2 linked regions of the Drosophila melanogaster genome follow. The protein of the gene in region 1 purifies or fractionates together with the protein of each later gene. This does not show direct contact. Each region holds a gene or a part of one and is shown in the gene's direction. Other genes may lie near its edges.

What was found.
Region 2: the proteins of Mtr3 (region 1) and Dis3 purify together in Drosophila melanogaster (affinity purification with western blotting; 2 studies listed by BioGRID, with this or other methods). This does not show direct contact.

The regions. Positions count from the first base shown.
Region 1 is NT_037436.4:19,910,830-19,916,444, reverse strand, and holds Mtr3 (Mtr3), read left to right. Parts: upstream 1-2,729; 5' UTR 2,730-2,815; coding exon 2,816-2,966; intron 2,967-3,024; coding exon 3,025-3,854; 3' UTR 3,855-4,040; downstream 4,041-5,615. Other genes in the region: Rpn1 (regulatory particle non-ATPase 1), read right to left, coding at 1-1,254; Prp3 (precursor RNA processing 3), read right to left, coding at 4,117-4,871, 4,926-5,615.
Region 2 is NT_033777.3:24,331,555-24,338,761, forward strand, and holds Dis3 (Dis3), read left to right. Parts: upstream 1-1,878; 5' UTR 1,879-1,938; coding exon 1,939-2,318; intron 2,319-2,370; coding exon 2,371-2,815; intron 2,816-2,878; coding exon 2,879-3,957; intron 3,958-4,013; coding exon 4,014-4,682; intron 4,683-4,739; coding exon 4,740-5,115; 3' UTR 5,116-5,479; coding exon of another isoform or gene 5,480-5,516; 3' UTR 5,517-5,694; downstream 5,695-7,207. Other genes in the region: Rrp5 (ribosomal RNA processing 5), read right to left, coding at 1-1,530, 1,587-1,667; CG6432 (uncharacterized protein), read left to right, coding at 5,480-5,516, 6,293-7,207.

The DNA.
Region 1 (5,615 bases):
CACATCCCACAGAAGTATCAAACCCAGCGATGCGGTGGCCGAGAGCATGCCGTGCTCCTTGTTCTTGTACAACCATTTGTTTCCGTCTTCCGACAGCAACTTGTCCACACCGAAACCGGCGTTAACAAAACCATTTACAAAGCTAGCGGCCAGATTTTGCTTGGCAGAGTCTACCTGGATGGATGCAAAGCGGGAGCGCGAGTTGTCCAAATGCGACTTGTAAATGTCCTCAGGCGTTTTGGGCTCCATGATGTCCAGTTCGCGAGCCAGATTGAGGAAATGCTTGTTCAGATTAGCATTCGACATGATCTCCATGAGATCATCGTAGTCCGGCACCAATTCATCCAGCTCCAGGCAAATCTGTTGGCGGGCCAGCATAAAGGCCAGCTGCTTCTGCATGGCCGGCTCCTTGGGCTCCTTGAAGATCTCACCGATCTTGTCCATATCGTTGAGCATCAACGCCAGTCGCATGGCCTGTGTGTACTGGTTGAACTTGCGCGACAGCTGGAGCGCGGTTTCCAGGATAATGGTGTTGTCCGGGTCGGGAACATACGGATAGCAGGACTGCAGATAGAGACAGACGCGGGGATAGGCCGACTCGTCCACAAAGTCGCTCAGCAGGTGCAAGTGATCGATTTCGATCAGCAGATCGCAGGCATCAGCCTCGGCATTGTGCTCCATATTGTACGGGATGATCTGCTTGACCAGTTCGATGAGCTGTACACGAAAGTCTCCCGTTGTATCGTGATAGTGGGCCGAAATTTCGCCAGACAAATGACGCACATACTCATGGCCCCAGTCCCCGATGCGCTGCTTGCGATCGCAGAGGAATCGGTAGGCCAGGCAATCCTTGCCGCTGCCCATGGTCATCGAGAGCACTGAGATGATGTCGGCGCACAACTGGCGAGCCTGCTCATTGGGCATGTGCTTGTACACCGTCTTCATGGTTTCGTAGTGCGGGCGCATGAACTTCAAAGGCTTGGGCACCGAGGTCATCGACGTCGTGGAGGCTCTGATCAATTTGGCCATACTCTCCAGCGTCGGCTGGTAGAGCTTGGCATCCGGCTCCTGCAAGTGCTGCACCAGCAGCTCCAGCTCCTCCTGCAGCTGCTGGTCCTCGTCGGAGAGCTCCGGCTGCTGCTCCTTGTCCTTGCCGTCCTTCTTTTCATCCTTCTTGGCCTTCGGATCCTTGGCATCGCCTTCGGATGCCGCCGGCTTCAGCGGCTTCTTCTCCAGCTTGGTCTCGCCCGTCATGATTTCTTTCCTAGCTTGTCGGACTTAAGGGATTTAATTGGCACTACGTTTTCTTCGATTGTAATGCGGTTTATGCGGCTTTGTTCCTTCTTTTTCGTTGTTGAAACAGCAGAATTACACAGCGCTTTTTGCAGTGTGACCGCGCGGCGAACGCCAGGCTATGCCGCGCTAATCTGTTTAAAATACCAGAATAATCAGCTACCGTTACCACGAGCTGGTAACGTTCAAATAGTGATGGCAGTGACTTTCACCTTATCGATTTTTAGGGGCCTTGCCAATCAAAATTGAAAGGTTTAGAAAGTGAAAGAAAAAGCTAACTATATTTGTGTATGTGTATATATTTAAAAATGTTGTGATATGCAGATATTTTAAATATCCATTTAACTTCCGGCCTTTGCAGTTGTATTAGCTGTAATTCCTTGATATCAACGGAGATCGTTTATATTTTCAAACATGTTGGGCTACTTATGACACAATGCGTTATTTTCTGGCCAAAAAACTCTTGTCTGCTTTTGCTGCGGAAGTATTTGGTGAAGTAGCGAGTCCCAATATGCAAAAATGGGTCTCTTGAAATTAACTGATCTAATCTGATTTCTTCAGAAATTGGTTGATGGTTGGTTAGGATGTTAATGGATCTCTCTAGTTCCAACATTCATCCTGCGTAATATCTTCGTGAGTTTAGGAAAAACATTATTTCACTGACACTGATTCATTAGATGAATTCTCGGCATCTCCTACAAAACTGTCTCCGTCATCGGACCCCAAAAGCTGTGAATTTGAGAAATCCTCTTGATCCGAGGTATTGTGGTTCTAATTTTTTTCTCTCTTGACTTTCATATCAGCAGCAATGGCAGAACTTTTGGTCCTGCAAAAAAAGGAATCAGTCGTCAGGTGTATATAATATTAGAGATATGGGTTTCAAACTATGAATGGGTAACTCCGAAATAATGGCTATTCCGCATGGCTTTTACTTGTCTTGAATTTTCTTTTAAGATAATACTAAAGCTAGCCTCGCAACTCTTCACTGAAATTCAAAAGTAAAATCTATAACGCGGGCATATATCCTACCATCAGTATTCTATTCCGCGACACACTATTCCAGGCCTGATGCAAGGCCATCCATGGCAGTGCTTCTTGTCGGCCATATTCCCAGAAATCTCTTCAGTCTGTACCGAGTGGATTAGCGTTATCTTAAGCGTTGTTTTACACTTCGGCAATCGATTTTTCTGCGATTATATTTAAGCTCTTTTTTCTCTTAGTAACAAAGAAAATACTACTAAGTTATCAATTATCAGAAGGAATCAAAACATTATTTAGACTTTATAAATAATTAGCACAATTAGCACTAATAAGAAGACTTATTTTAGGTTCTTATTATTAAGGTTCTTTGAAGGTTTTCATTCAAATACGATAACCCACGAAACGATACAGAATCGGTATAAAATATCGAAATATACAAAAATACCAGATTTGTATTTTAATCGAAAACTTAAAAGTCTTTAGACCACATGTGAACTCAGTTTGTTTATTTTTATATTCAATCAAAAGATATAATATAAATATGCTAGCGGTGAACCAGACGAAGAACACCCTACTCGATGGAGCCTCCATTGAGGAAGAGCCGTACACAACTCCGCAGGAAAGCGAGGATTTCTTTGAGAGTCTAGACAAACCGTCGAGGGAGCCAACACAACTGGCACCCAGAAACACCTGTTAGAAGTGCACATCCTTATTTGTATTTCAATTTCTCATACCTCTTGTGACTTACAGTCATCCGCGCCGGTGTGTTGACCACAGTGAGAGGTTCCGCCTACATGGAGTATGGTAACACCAAGGTTCTGGCCATTGTGGCCCCGCCAAAGGAGCTAATCCGCGCCAGCGCACGCAGAATGAACATGGGTGTTCTGAATTGCTATGTGAATTTTGCGGCCTTCAGCACAGGGGATCTAGATTCGGTGCCGGAACGGGAACGCCACCTGAGCAGCATGCTGACCAAGGCCATGGAGCCGGTGGTGTGCCGCACGGAGTTCCTTAACTTTCAGCTGGACATACGGGTGCTTATTCTCGACGATGACGGCTGCCTGCTCAGCACTGCCATCAATTGCTGCGGAGTCGCTTTGGTGGAGTGCGGCATTTCCACTTACGACTTAATTACGGCCTCCACAGCTTGTATCTATCGGGATCACGTCTTCCTGAATCCCAGTGCCAAGGTTGAGGAGCTGCTCTGGAAGCATCGCAACAGCAGCACCGATAGCACAACCAGCCCATCATCCGCCCAGGAGCACGGCCTGATCATTACCGCCAGCATGGATACCTTTGAACAGATCGCCCAGTGCCAGCAGTGCGGATATCTCAGTCCAGCCACCTATGTAAAGCTGCTGGATTACACCCTGGCCATTAACAAGTCCCTGAGAGAACTAGTCAAAGGCGTGCTCACGAAGCGGGTGAAGGAGCAGCACGAACTAGATCTACGCGAGAAAGCCGAGACCGCTCTAGAAGATCAGCGTTTGGAGGAAATAATCGAGAAGCTAAAGAAGCAAGGACCAGAGGAGTTTATACAATCGAACATCCGGGAGGATCCCTATGTAAAGAGGCAGTAGTTGGTTGAGAATAAATCATACTAATATAAATCCCAGATCTATTTGAACAACAACCACCACTTAAAAAATGATTACTACAAATATTTAGAGTCCAGATAAAACTTTTATTCGTTATTTTTGCACTTCCAAAGTTCCGAATAGCTTCGAAAATAATAACATCAAATGCGTAGCGCGCTTCAAAACTTTAATTCAGACTTGTATCTTTCCGAAAGTGAATTTGTAGAACTGTAGTGTATCTAGCAATTCTTAAAATGCCTTTTATCTACTGCTGATCCGTGGAGGCCTCAAGCACGGCTCCGGAGTAGGCCAGATCCCAGTAGTGTTCGACCTGGTGCTTCTGAAAAAACTCACGGGCCATTTTTTCCATTGGAAAGATCTTAAACTTGATCTCGCCAAAGTGCCGTCGCTGACTAGTCCCCTCCCAGACGAGTACGCATGAGTTCGGCACGTCCTGGCCGTCATTGCCCTTGGCGTTGTCCTCCTCCCACTTAATGCGCGTTAGCATGAGCCTGCGATACTTTTTCTGCTGCTTGGGCCCACCCTCCACGACAACCACACAGCAATCCCGGAACAACACCACGCTGCCGGTCATCTGCAGCTGCTTGGCATTGGTCTCCACCTTGAATTTCTTGCTCTGGTTGTCCTGCAGATCTCGTATGCGATAGACGCTGACATGTACACCGCAGCTGGTGTCTTCCCTCAGCTTGCGCTGCTTCTTTTCGCTCTTCTGCTCGCTGGTCAGCTTGCGCGCATTGTTGGCATCTTCGTGCGCCTTCTGCCGCTTGGCCATCTGGTCGCGCACATGCTGCTCCATTTTGGTCGGATCTTGTACGGCCTCCGAGCCAAGCACACGCATCAGGTTGGATATGCGCAGTTTCGGCTCTGGTGGGGCCACCAAACCCAGTCGGATCTTCTCCTGCTCCTCCTTCCAGGCCTCGCGACGGTTCTGGCGACGAAGCTTTTTGCGCTCTTTCTTTGTGAGGAAAACCGGCAGATACACTGGTTTCAAGGGCTCATCTGAAGGAGTAGGTGGTTAGTTGCTTGTGGGACATGTTCTAGCTTTCAACTTACTTGGCGGCTTCATTTGTGTGGGATGCTCTATAAGGTTGGTTATGGCTGTTTGGCGTATGCTTATCTTACCGCTTGCGTCGTCTACCGTCTCCAGATCCTGGGTCAGTATAACTGAGTCCCACCACTCCATGGCAGGCACATCGTCCGGCATGTCCTGCTTGGGGGCAATCAATGCCAGTTTGGTGGCCGACGAGATGCCCGTTTTCCGGGCTATTTGCGAAATCTCATTCTGTAGTCGCTCCAGCTGGCTTTTCATGCGCATTCGTTCGGCCAGCTGCTGGAACTTTCCGGGCTCGTGGAATCTCAACGTCCTCTTGGTTCTAACAGTGGGCTTCAGGGCTATGCGGTCGTCAAAGTACTTAATAGCTTCTTCCTGGGCCGAAGTGCCCGATTCACTCCGTTCACCCAAACCCGTTTGGCGTTGGAACACCTCCCGTTTCTTGGCGCGTATGTTGGCTTTCAATGTAGGTGTCACCGTGGGAATATTAATGGTACGTCCGCTCTTGTCCACAGTGCGTCCTTCATCGTCCAGAATCAGGGGTTTGGGTCGCTCCTGCGCTTGAGCAGCAGCTGCAGCGGCGGCCGCTACCGCAGTGGGCTGAATCAAACTAGCCAAATTGCCAGTAAGCTTGGCCCTGATCTGTGCCTGCAACTCGGCAATCTTCCTGGCCTTCTCCGAGTCCTCGGGCG
Region 2 (7,207 bases), on another chromosome or scaffold:
TGTGCCCATATAGACGTTTCCAACGTGAGCGGACGCATAATCAGTCAGAATTTTAATTCCCTTGCCCAAATACTCGGCACGATTGCTCACGTAGCAGATTTTTCGCTCGGCATTAACTTCTAGGACGCGGCACTTCAACGACTGACCCACATCGTAGCGGACATTGGGTGCCAGATAGAACTGTTCCAGTATTCCGTTGACCTTGCCGATCCTCACCGACCAGCCCTTGATCTTGTCATCCTTCTTGAATATTTTCGCTGTGACCAGATCGCCGGCATTAATATCCTCCAGGCAGAACAGCTTTTCGTTGACCACGTTGGGATCATCGGAGCAGTAGTACAAGGATTCGATGACATCGTATCCTAGGATGCGAACCTTATGCTTCGTTTTTCTTCCGTATTTGGACAATACTTCGTCCTTGTCATAATTTCCCTTGAAATTGCCTCTGATTGAACCGTATGAGATAATGCCCTTTAGTTTCTTATTAAGAAGCAGTACCACGCCACCGCTGCCCAAGCGCAGAACCTTGGCTTTTTCCACCACGGAACCCACCTTTATGGGCTCTACCTCCTGCTCTTCCTCATCCTGATCTTTTGCTACTGCAGCTCCAGTTTTGATATCCAGATTAAGAGTTAAGTACACTAGTTTGGTTAGGGGCATCACGTAGAGTACCCTGGCATTGTAATCCTCATTCAGCTCGTAGGCATCCAAAGTATCCAAAGCGTTAGCTAGATGATGTTCGTTGACGTAGGCACTAAAGGATTCATTCATGATGCTGCCTTTGAGGCCATCCTTCAGATGCTTGGCCACCTTAAACTTTACAATGCTGCCTGGCAGAATGTAGTCGAGATTCGTCTCGTTTTGACTCTTGATGCGCAGCTGGTCCTGCTCCACCTGGACACAGGTGCAGGTGCTCTGGTGGGTGTCGTGATGAACGGTTTTGACTTTTAGGAAAGCCAACTGCCCCACGTGTAGCTTCTGAGCTGGCTTCTCGCATGGCACGAATGCCTGAAGTCCTTGTACTCCCGACTCGATGACATAGCCGTGCTCCAGAGCCTCCGCCACGGCGCCAGAGAAGATGAAACCCTTCTTAATGCTCTTGTGATGCAGATTACCGTGCACATCGGCCGGCTTGAGGGAAAGGAGCAGGCTAACCCGACCGGTGTCCAGCTTTTCTGTTTTGATGGCCTTGCCGTAGACGATGCGGCCCAACTGGAAGAGCTCGGTAAGGTCGTGGTACTCGCTGGTGTCTCCGGACATGGCCGCCTTGGCCACACGGGTGTAGGCGTCGGATATATCCGCCACCAAGGTGCGGGCGAACATCCGACCGGGCAAAGCGATCTGCAGTGCGGTGGCTGTCAACTCCTTGACCACTCCCATGACCAGCATGTCCTCCTGCAGCGTGTCCATATTGAGCGTTTCCGCGGAGAAGGCCTCCAGTTGGCCATTTTGTTCCTCGGTTTCGTAGCTCAGAAGGTTCTCTTTTACTTTCGGCGCCTTCTTCACCTTCTTCTGCGAGGCACCGAAAACCTGTGGGACAGAAAAGTATGTACAAAGATCTCGGATATTTCGCTGGCTAAACTCACGATATTCAGGCTCACGTCGTCGGTTTTGACTTCGCTGTGGATTGTCCCGCCTCGGGGAAAGCTTTTCTCGTTCGGCACCATCCGGGAGCTGTGTAATTTAGCGTTTTAAATAACAAAATTTGAGCAACGTGCGTTCTACACGTGCTAAGCGCCGATATAGAAAATCAGTTCAATAAATGGTACTAAATTATACCTTAAGATACGGGGCAGTCCGTAGACTCAAACCACTGTGACCATTGCGGCTGCAGTGTGAACAGGCCTTAGGCAGATAATACCGCAGTCGAATCATGCACGGGCCTCCCTATTCCGGCACACATGTGAAGGTGTAACAATTCGAACGCGGTTCAACAAAATGCAAACTTTACGCGAATTTACGCGTAAAACCAAGCGCGGCAACATTCTGAAGATTGTACGGGAGCACTATCTGCGCGACGACATCGGCTGCGGCTCCGAGCTGTGCCGGGAGTGTTTCCAAAACGAGGTATACCAGCTCACCTCGCAGCACGCGAATAAGAGCACCCTCTTCAAATTCCCGCACTATCTCGTTTTGGACACAAATGTGGTTCTGGACCAGATCGACGTGCTGGAGGAGGATGTTTTGCGCAACGTAGTCGTTCTGACCACCGTGCTCAACGAGGTGAAGCACAGGAGCTCCGCCATTTACAAGCGATTCAATGAGATCGTCCACGACCGCACCAGGAACTTCTATGTGTTCGTCAACGAGCACCACAAGTGGGTTAATGGATTTTCTTGGGAAACCTTTATAATATAGTGCTTCTTCTAGGGAAACCTATGCTGATCGCGAACCAGATGAGACCGCCAATGATCGCAATGATCGGGCCATTCGTCTGGCCACCAAGTGGTACGATGATCACCTGCAGGCCTCGCAATCCTCTAAAGAGTTCGAGCGCAGTGGCAAAGCTGCTACGCGAGTTGTTCTGCTCACAGATGATGCTGCCAATCGTGCTAAGGCCGAAGCAGAAGGTATTCTGGTGACCACAGCAGCGGAGTACGTGAAATCTCTCGAGGATTTTCCACTTCTGATGGATAAGCTGTCGCACAAAACATTCGACAGCGAGAAGAATGGTCTGCCCCAGTACCCGCCGCATCTCAGCATGAAGGAGCTGCTGGAAGGACTGCGCCAAAATAAGCTACTACAGGGCACTTTTCAGGCATCCAGGGAAAACTACTTGGAGGGCACCGTCAATGTAGAGAAATTCGAAAAGGGGGTAAGTTAAAACGCTAAATATCTTCCCTGGCATACGCTTCACAATACGATTTCTGTTTAATAGATCCTTATCCAAGGACGCGAGTCTCTTAATCGGGCCGTGGATGGCGACCTGGTGGCCGTGGAGCTTTTGCCCGAGGCGGAGTGGTCAGCACCCAGTGAAATTGTACTGGAGGAGAAGAATGTCTATGCCGATGAAGTGCCCAGCGAGGAAAGGGCCAAGGATGAAAATGAGATGTTGAATCAGGTGCGTGCCGCTGCCTTATCCGCAGAGCGCACGCCCACAGGGCGAATTGTCGGTATTGTGCGACGGAAATGGCGACAGTATTGCGGCATCCTGCAGCCTAGCTTAATAGAGGATACAAATCGGCACATCTTTGTGCCCGCCGACCGTAAGATTCCGCGCATCCGTATCGAAACGCGACAGGCAGCAATGCTGCAGAACCAGCGCATCATCGTAACGATTGACACATGGCCGCGCAACTCGCGCTACCCACATGGACATTTTGTGCGCTCCCTGGGACCGCTCGGAGACATGGCCACCGAGAACGAGGTTATCCTGCTGGAGCACGACGTCCCGCACTGCAAGTTCTCGGACGAAGTGCTTAGCTTCTTGCCGAAAATGCCCTGGACAATTACTGACGAGGACTATTCCAAGCGTGTGGATCTGAGGGATCTGTACATTTGCTCTGTGGATCCCCCGGGCTGCACGGATATCGATGATGCTTTGCACTGCAAGGAACTACCGAACGGCAATCTGGAAGTGGGCGTTCACATAGCCGACGTAAGTCACTTTATTCGTCCAGGAAACGCACTGGACATGGAGGCAGCGGCCAGGGGAACCACCGTGTACTTGGTGGGCAAACGAATCGACATGGTACCCGAGTTACTCAGCTCAAATCTCTGCTCATTGGTTGGCGGTGTTGAGCGATTCGCCTTCTCCTGCGTGTGGGAAGTGGACAATGAAGCAAATGTGTTAAGCAAACGCTTCCACAAGAGCGTCATCAAATCGAAGCGTGCCATGACCTACGAGGAAGCGCAGAATATCATCGACGATGCCACGCAACAGAATGAAATAGCCAAGTCCCTGAGAAATCTTAATCGGTTGGCCAAAATACTGAAAAAGCGACGAATGGATAATGGGTAAGATTATATTAACACCTCGTAATCAAGTGAACTAAGGCATCCATAATTTACAGAGCCCTTGTCCTTGCCTCCCCGGAGATCCGCTTCCAGGTGGACAGCGAGACACACGAACCACTCGAGGTGGAGGTGAAGCAGATGCGCGAGACGAATTCCATGGTGGAGGAGTTCATGTTGCTGGCCAACATCACGGTGGCCGAGCATATCGCAACGGAGTTCTCCGAGTGCGCTGTTCTGCGTCGCCATCCTCGGCCACCGCCTACCAATTTCGATCCGCTGGTAAAGTCTGCGCGCTACCAGGGCTTCCAGGTGGACATCAATTCGGGACTGGAGCTGTCGCATTCACTGGACAAGTGTGTCAAGGCGGATAATCCGTACTTTAACACAATGATCCGCATCCTCACCACACGCTGTATGATGCAGGCAGTGTACTTCATCAGCGGCAGTCTGCAGAAGGAGGAGTTCTTCCACTACGGTCTGGCTGCTCCCATCTACACGCACTTTACGTCGCCCATTCGTCGTTACTCCGACATTATGGTACATCGCCTGCTGGCCGCCTCAATCGGCGCGGATAGCACCTATGCCCAGCTATTGGACCGAAAGTCAAATGAGGAGCTGTGTCATAATCTTAACTACCGCCACAAAATGGCTCAGTACGCTGGTCGCGCATCAGTGGCCCTCAACACGCATCTCTTTTTCCGCGGCAAGGAGGAGGATGAGGAAGGGTGAGTCGAAGAAACCACTAGTGGGCAACATTCTTTTCAATTATTACCCATCCCTAGATATGTGCTATTTGTGCGCAAGAATGCTCTGCAAGTGCTAATCCCCAAGTATGGCCTGGAAGGCACTTTGTATCTAAAGTCGGACAAGGATGGCAAGGACGGTGTGGAGCGCGTCAAGAGCGAGATTGTCTTCACCTTCAACGAAGAGGATCATACACAGCGTTGCGGTGACGTGGTGTTCCACTCCTTTGATCCAGTCACGGTTCGTCTTAGCCTGGATTCCAGCAATGTGCAGCACGAGAAGCTGATCTTCCGGCTGGTCAAGCCGTACATCAAGGGCTTCAGCGTGGAAACGACCACCGAAGGAACTGATAGCCAAGCGGTTTCTGCGGCACCTCCATCGAAAAAGACAAAGAAGGATAAGAAAAAGAAGTAATTCTTTGGATCTTTGCTTATGTGGAACTAGACTACGCTGAAGATGTGTAACTACAATCATTTCGTATAAATAAAATGTAAGGTTTTTAAATTCCGCTCCGTTTCGTAAACCTTTTCCACCGTTCCGGCTCTGCCGATCTCGGAGAGTTTCGAAAGCATACCTTTGATCGGGTGTTTTGTTTAAGGTTTTGGTTTCCAACTTGCGTTCTACATTCTCCAGACCCATTGCAAAGTTTCGACTACAGTGCGACGGTTGTGCTGAGCTCGTTTGATCCAAAAAATTCAAAAAGAATATATATAATAAATACATATATACATTAACTTGACTTGAATATATACAAGAACGGAAGTTATACAAAGTTACAATGGAACCCGGTCCTAGTGCAGTGAACTACGAAGGCAGTAAGTCGAAAAAGGTTTCGAAATTCATATGAAAAGGCTAAAAAATTTAATCAATGAGTAATCGCGTGATTTTTGCGGAACATATATTTATATCGGTACACATATTTTAATACGCATATTGAAAACATCAGTTAAAATAAACAACTTTTAGAACATCAAATAAAGTGCTTGGAAAACTAATATGCCAACTTTCGTTGTGATCTAAATGAATTCTATAGATTTTCGAATTTTCCAAAAACTATCTAAGTGGAGTCCAACTTTTTACAATATTCTTGGATTCTTGCAGTGCGATGTAGATAGATAGATAATTTATGCACAAGAGTTCAAGGTGATAAATATTGTGTTTTAAACCACTGCTCGCCAATTAAAATAATGAACTTTCGATGCGACTTTGAAGTGATTAATTAGTGTTTAGTTGTGCGCCCAAACTGTCGGCACTAAATATTAATGAATTCGATTAGCTTATTCAACAAGGAGGCTTTTAGGTCCAATATCCATCGCCAATCACGTGTGGATTATGCTCGGCGTCTGGGTGAGCCGCACACCCGACGCATATGTGCAGTACATGGGTGCCAGGTTGGGTATATAGAAATCAGTTGAGTGACCGCGACATTTGGAAAATTTAAAATTCAATGTGCCTGGTGTGTGTAAGGTGGTATGGAGTGGAAGGTTTGTAATTTAGTTTGATAGCCTAATTAAAAGCAGCGATTAACCCAATAGAGGAAACAATGAACCCGCCCATCTAATGGTCACCTGCTGCTATACCTTTTCCGCAGGTGAATCTGTATGCGGCATGCCGGTGGAGGCTCACGATCCTCTCTACTTGAAGGCCTATCGCCAGAGTGTTCAGAATCCGGCTGCATTTTGGGAGGAGCAGGGTAACCTGCTCGACTGGGATCGGCCATGGGAGAAGGTACTGGACAACAGTAATCCGCCATTCACCAAGTGGTATGTGGGTGGCTACCTGAATGCCTGCTACAATTCCATTGATCGCCACATACTGGCCGGCCGCGGCTCCAATGTGGCCCTAATCCATGACAGCCCCTTGACTGGCACACTGCGTCGGGTTACCTATCAGGAGCTGTATGACCAGATCGTTCTGCTGGCAGGCGGCCTGGCCAAATTGGGCGTGGTCAAAGGTGATCGCGTCGTGATCTACATGCCCCTCATCCCGGAGACCATCATTGCCATGCTGGCAATTGTGCGTCTGGGTGCGATTCACTCCGTGGTCTTCGGTGGCTTCGCTGCCCGCGAACTCTGCTCGCGCATCGAACATGTGGAACCAAAACTGGTGATCGCCTCCAATGTGGGCGTGGAGCCGGGCAAAGTGGTGCCCTACCTGGACATCCTTCATTCAGCTATTAGCATGTCGCGATGGCGACCACCGCAGCGTAACATAATCTTTCGGCGTGATAATGTTTCGCCAGATACCACCAAACTGGATCCTCTGACGGATGTGCTCTGGTCGGATATTCTTAAGATGGCGGAGGGCGAGCGGCCCATAGCCTGTGTTCCCATCGAGGCCAACGATCCTTTGTATATCCTCTATACCTCTGGAACGACGGATAAGCCCAAGGGAGTACTTCGCACCATCGGAGGTCACTTGGTTGCTCTGGTGTACACGCTGAGAACTCTCTATGGCATCAATCCTGGCCACACCTGGTGGGCGGCCTCAGATATGGGCTGGGTGG